Caenorhabditis elegans: one gene and its partner. The protein of the gene in region 1 purifies or fractionates together with the protein of each later gene. This does not show direct contact. Each region holds a gene or a part of one and is shown in the gene's direction. Other genes may lie near its edges.

What was found. The genes of interacting proteins can lie anywhere in the genome.
Region 2: the proteins of atp-4 (region 1) and atp-5 purify together in Caenorhabditis elegans (affinity purification with mass spectrometry; 2 studies listed by BioGRID, with this or other methods). This does not show direct contact.

Annotation. Positions count from the first base shown.
Region 1 is NC_003283.11:6,425,737-6,428,866, reverse strand, and holds atp-4 (ATP synthase-coupling factor 6, mitochondrial), read left to right. Parts: upstream 1-1,754; 5' UTR 1,755-1,756; coding exon 1,757-1,999; intron 2,000-2,324; coding exon 2,325-2,471; 3' UTR 2,472-2,621; downstream 2,622-3,130. Other genes in the region: alh-4 (Aldehyde dehydrogenase), read left to right, coding at 1-85, 144-460, 508-637, 683-821, 912-941; T05H4.11 (DUF4706 domain-containing protein), read left to right, coding at 3,024-3,119.
Region 2 is NC_003283.11:11,122,399-11,125,746, reverse strand, and holds atp-5 (ATP synthase subunit d, mitochondrial), read left to right. Parts: upstream 1-1,879; 5' UTR 1,880-1,881; coding exon 1,882-1,936; intron 1,937-2,023; coding exon 2,024-2,334; intron 2,335-2,379; coding exon 2,380-2,553; intron 2,554-2,597; coding exon 2,598-2,633; 3' UTR 2,634-2,846; downstream 2,847-3,348. Other genes in the region: strt-7 (Phosphatidylcholine transfer protein), read right to left, coding at 346-398, 445-483; lmtr-3 (Late endosomal/lysosomal adaptor and MAPK and MTOR activator 5), read right to left, coding at 889-1,133, 1,181-1,273, 1,338-1,437; mboa-2 (O-acyltransferase), read left to right, coding at 3,273-3,293, 3,339-3,348.

The DNA of each region.
Region 1 (3,130 bases):
TCCGCAAATATGTGAACGAATTTTATGGCGAGGATGTGAAAGCAAGCAAGGATTACGCGAGAATGATCAATCAGAGACATTTCGAGTTAGTTTATTTAACTATTTACAATATTTATATAATTTAATCTGAACTCTTCTTCCAGTCGCATCTCTGGGCTTCTCGATAAAACTCAAGGAGCTGTTCTTATCGGTGGAGAACGTGATCGTGCAGATCTCTACATCCCTCCAACTGTCCTTGACGTTGAGAAATCTGATCCATTCATGCATGATGAGATTTTTGGTCCAGTCCTGCCCATCATCACTGTCCAGTCTTTCTCGGAGTCGCTTGAGTACATTGCTGATGGAGAGAAGCCTCTGGCTGCTTACATTTTCACAAGAAATGAAGCTAAAGTTAAACGCCTTTTGAATGAGACTAGCAGTGGTGGTGTGACTGTTAACGATGTGTTGATGCACATTACTGGTATGCTATTTTAATTTTAAAATATCTGAATAATTTTTGAATTACAGTTGATACTCTCCCGTTCGGAGGAGTAGGTGTCTCTGGAATGGGACGTTACCGTGGAAAGTATGGATTTGACACATTCACCCATGAAAAGTCTGTGCTTCACAGAGGATTCTTCGGAGAATCTCTTTTAGCGTACGTTTTTTCCGAACCTTCGATACCTAATCGCATTAATTTCAGAGCTCGTTACCCGCCACTAAGCCAACAAAAGCTCGATCAAATGCGACGCCTCACGGGAAAACGAATCTCTCTGAATCTGATGAATGTTGCGACTCTTCCTATCGTAATGGCCTCATTCGTTTTTGGAATGCTCTTCCAGGTATGCAGAGGAAAATCAGCTCAATAGATTCTCACACAGTCAGCACCTGCTTCACTAGATTAATTCACAAATCGCAGTACAATTTTTCAGAAATGTTCTAGAAATGTACAGGATGATTAATTACTGCGAAAATACGTGATATTTAGCTTATCATATTCACATATTTTTGTTGCTTTCCAATTTGCCTCACTAACTTATGTCCAAACATCTAACAATAAACTATTCAAATCAGTTATTGTACGGATATTTCCCGTTTGTAACCTCCAAAGGCTCCTTATGTTTCGAAGGTCCTTCACATCCTTTGTTTTTATGCTTCAGCTAACTAGTACCAATTCGATAACAAATAAATACAGAAAAAATAATACTAGTTTCAGTTCATTTTCCGCTTCTCGGCATAAAATCGAGACATGCTGGTGGAGGTGGCAAACGCGAAATGGCGTACAGTAGGCTCGGTGTTTGCGGACTAGTCGTGCGGTCAATGTTCACTCTTACGTACTTTCACACCACTATTCTTCTTCCGTCTCGCCCTATTTTTTAACTTCTTTTTTTTTTCACAAATTCCTAGTCAATTTTTTCACCGGATCTTCTAATCATTCCATAAACTCTAGTCCATAACCAATTCCCGCATGAAAAGTGTCCCCAAATATTAAAAATTCGTGTAGTTTCAATTTAAAGCAATAATTTTATTAATTTTCATTCCCGATATTTTCAGAAATATGCTCGCAATCTTCATTGATCCGCCAAACGTTCATTTTCATTTTTTTTTTAAATTTTCCTCCCCTCTCTTGAGTATGTTTATTTTTGTAAATATTTTAATAAATCATTGTTTTGTGGAATTTTGCGCTTTGTTTGATTTTCCTGGTTTCCGGTGCCTTTTCTTCGATACTTATAAACATCCTTTGAACAGAAAACAATTTCTAAATTTATATTCAGGTATGTTCCGCGCAGTCCAATCAGTCCGTTCTCTTTCGACCACCGCGGCTTGCCGCCAGGACTTGATCCAGCAGACTTTCGTCACCAAGATCCGCGAAATCGCCAAGAACGCCGGTAACCTGGCTAACTCTGATCCAGCCGTTAAGAAGGCTCTCCAGGAAGAGCTCAACAGATTGGCCACCAAGTTCCAGCTCGCCAACGCCGATGTTGTTTCGAAGCTCCCAACTAACTTTGAAGCTGCTAAGGTAATATAAATGAAGACAAACAAACAAAGATTTATTTAAAAAATAAAATTAGCTAAAAAAAATTTCAGTTACAAAAGTATCGCTCGATTGAACAATTTTTAAATGAATTATCGAAGTAAATTAAAGAAACATCCTTATTTTTGTCGATTAATAACCAAAATAGTTTCAAATAATTTTTAAAAAATCAGCTTTTGTTTTTGTAAATATATTTGATAATCTGAGAACCAGAAGTAACCCGATTAATGTATATCTTATAAATTTTAGATTATTAATAGGCTGTTCCAAGTGCTGAGTTAAAAAAAAACATTAAAATGCTCGTTTCCAGGTTGACTCTGCAGTTCAATCCGCTCTTGAAGGACAAACATTGGCTTCGCTTCTTGAAGGAGTCAAGAAGGACCACTCTGAATATGTTGCCTCCCGTGATGCCAAGAAAGCCGAACAAGCCGCCCGTAATGCTGCCCTCAAGCAATAAATTTAAGCTCTCGATTTTGAATGGTGTATTGTTTCTTTTTGTAATAGATCGTCTATAGACCGAATGAACGTTTTTGTTCCTTAATTTTTGAAATTTCTCTCTGTTCTTTTGTAAACTTTGTTGTTTTAGTCACGAAGCTTATTTTTATTATTCTCATTCAAAATTTTTCGATAAAGTGGCTTGTTATCAGCCATTTTAAACTCGTTCAATCAAATCATGGGTTGTACAGTTGTTCTACGAGCAAACATATTCAAACTCTTCCCCAACCCGTGAATACTCTTTTGAACGGCACCCCATTGCCGATTTGGGGTGCACCATTAGGCAGACCTGTCTGTCCGCAAGCCTCCTACGTCATCACACAGACACTAACCCAGCACCATTGCGCAGACGCGACAGACGACCTTTTATTTGCTACTCATATACCACACGATTTCAAATTGCAGGTTTTCGTTCCGCCGAAATGGATTCAAAACTCTAGTCATTTCAAAATTAATAAAAGGTTTGTGTTTTTTTCTCTCACGCATTTTTAAAATTCCATTTCCAATATTTAAGATGGTCGAATTTTCAAAGGAGTCATCGACCAGAGTCTCTGTAAACTCACAACGACAAATATCGCATGTCCAGAAACGAGAGCTCACGAAGCGAAAGGTTCGTTACTG
Region 2 (3,348 bases), 4.7 Mb from region 1:
TATTTTGGTTGTTTTAAAAAATTTTAATTTTTTAGACATGTTTGAAGCGAAAAAAAAAGTTTTATTTTTGGTTTTTATTTTTTTTATTGAAAAAATTGAATTTTCGAATTTTGGACTAAAATCTACGCTTTTTTTTCATATTTTACAAATCTTCTTAAGCAAAATATGTTTTAATGGTTTTCAATGATTTTTTCTAAAAGTTCAAAATAAATCGAAAATCGACTTTTTTTGGGTTTTATGGTCACAAATTCCAATTTGTAGTTCTTGGTCCAAAATCAAAATCTGTTTTTTTGTTTTTTGGTAAGACTTTTTTGGTCCTACTTCACTCCATAATAGTTGACTTACGCTTTCGTCTTGAATCGTGACCAATTTTGACGGAAGTTTCGATACAGTGCAACCTAAACGTATTATAATTGAACACACTTCAATCAAAATATTGTTTACCTGTTTAAACAAAAAACTGCTCCAATTTCTGTTCAGCATATCTTTGTTTGATAAGACTTACTTTATTGCATTCGAGTAAATCTAAAAGAAATGATTGAAAAATGATTTTGATCAGTACGGTCAGTGAAAAAAAAACGATCAGAGTGATTGATCTATGCTATAGTCAGTTCACGTTAGAGATGTATAAAATAGATAGTTTTTGGCAGAAACCAACGAGAAAACAGGCATGTTCTGTAACCACGGATCTTTCAATTTAATTTTATTCTTGATGAGAATCAATAGAAAACTGGGAAGGTTTTTACAGGAAATACGGTTATTGGGTATGATAATTTGAAAACAAGAAAAGTTAGATTGGTTTTTTAAGATTGGCATGAACTTGAAAAGCTGAGTAAAGATATCGAATCATGGAATCACAGGAAAATGAGAGCAGCCACCACATAATTATTAGTCGAAATCTGGGGGAGGTGCAGCTGCAGAAGGGTACGATGGTGGTGGTAAAAGAGCATCTCCATCAATTGGTGGGCAAAGTGACATCATATGACTGCCGATGGGAAATAATTTCTCACGCAAAGAGAGCATGGCGCCAGTGTTCGTGTTGGTTCCAGCGTGAACAATGAAATAATACTTGTCAATAGAATGAACAGCAATTTGGTGGGACTCGTACAATGCAAAGGTTGTTTGATGACCTCCTAAAACATAACTGAGTAGAAATAAAAATGAGAAGTCAATAACTAACCCATGTCGAGTTTGTGAATTTGAGGGATTGTTGTCACGTGACTGACAATCAGCTGTTGCCTGAATCTAGAATTATCCAATGTCGATGGAAGACCTGAAAAATGGTTATATTTTTAAAGTTTATATTAATTATTGGTTTTATTGATGAAAATACTTACCGATATTCAGAATGAGACCTCCATCGTGATCAGTGATGAAGATTGCGCAGACCCCCTCATAGGTAAGCATAAGCTCTTCGAGCTCTTGTTGGACGTTCATCATTTTACTGAAACAATGTCTTTTTTGTTTTTTTTTTTAACTACAGATACCACTAAAATAATCAGCAACATAAGGAAAATTCTTGAATTGATAAAATAAGAGTAAAAATCTGAAATCGGTTTTGGTGGCCGAGTTTTGTCCCGAGGGCCGATAAAAATGGCCGAGGAACCCGAGAAAACCGCGCCGCACTTTGCGTTTTCACGGGCGATAGACTCCACCCTTTTGAACAGAAAATACTATTTTTTGTGCTTTTCAGCTGTTTTAGCTTATTTTTCAGTTCATTCCGTTACTTAAAAATTGAAAACAACTCAAAATAGTTATTCTATGTTTCTTTGTTTGTGAACGATTCAATTTTCCTGCTAATTAAGCATATTTACTTTTTATTTTCAAAAATCGTTTTCCTGTTAATCTAAATAAGGTTAAAACATCACAATTTTTATAGGTATGTCTGGAGCCGCTAAGAGGGTAGCGACGTCTTCCGTGAACTGGTCGAAGCTCGGTAAGTTGTTTAAGTCACAAGTTACGGTATTTTACGTATGTAATAAATAACTTCTCCACAATTTAGTGTTTTAACTTTTAATTTCAGCCGAGCGTTTGGTCCCGGAACACGCCGCAGAACTCACCCGCGTGAAGGGAGTCAGTGGAACTTTCCAATCCGCTGTCAGCCAGCTCCCGGCCGATCTTCCCAAGATCGACTTTGCTGCTTTGAAGAAGGCCCTCCCGGCTCATTCGGCAGTTCTCGATTCTCTTCAAAAGCAGTATGAATCTGTAAAGATCCCATACGGAGAGGTTCCAGCCGAGTATTTGAAGGAAGTAGACCAATGGGTTGATTACAACAACGCCCGTATTAAGCTTCATGAGGTCAAGGTCGCTGATGGACTTCAGGAGGCCAAGAAGGTTATTACTTTTATTTCGAAAAGATTTTTAATATTCTTTTTCCAGGTGGAGGAAAAGTGGGCCAAGGCTCCACCAGTTGAACATTTCGATCGTCAGCATTTCGTCGAGTATTTCCCAGCTCATTTCTATGATCTTCGCTACCAGAACAGAATTCCTGATCCATGCAACATCGGACTCAACGAGACTCCAGAAATTGAGAACAGATTCAAGGACTACAAGGTGGAGAAATTTACCAAATTATAGTCATATTTATTAATTTTCAGGTTCTTCGACGTGCCGACAAGGTTGACGACCATTAAACGATTTATCATGATGTACCGTTCAGTAGACAACTCTCGTTCTTCCTTATCGCTCTCCTACCATTTTTAAGACCATTTTGATTTGTTTTGTAGCCGTTTGTTTTATAATTTCGTCGAATTTTTTTATGTGCCTGGGAGCTTATGCAGTCGATACCCCCTTCTTCAGATTATGTATTTCATAAGAGTGATGGCAAGATAAAGAACTTTCGCATGTTTCCTTTATATTATATGAGAATTTCTTTGCAATTCGCGCGAAAAGAATCTGTTGGCATCATTGATTACCTTCGATGATCGGATTGAAGATATCAAAACAAGTTTTTTCTTTTCATGTTAAAACCAACTAATGAAGTTGAACGAATATTTCCATAGTTTCAATTAATGTCAGTGTATTATGTACATTGAATTCGGATTCCATGTAAAGATCAAGAATTGGCGTGAAGTGCACTATTGTTCTAAATAAGTGATAGATCACATTTAATCAAGAGGCGCCAGACGCGTTGTCTCTTATCTTGATTCGATAAATATGAAACAAACAGACGGAGGCACGACAGGCCTGACTTGTTATTCTTTTCCGAAATTTTTTTGCAGTTTCTTGATTCTTCTACATTTAAGAATTTCAGGGTTACCTAAGTATTTCTGATGCAAATGCGTCAACAAACGGTTAGTTTTATTATTTTCTAAAGTTTTTTTAAAAACTAAATTCAGGGACGACGGC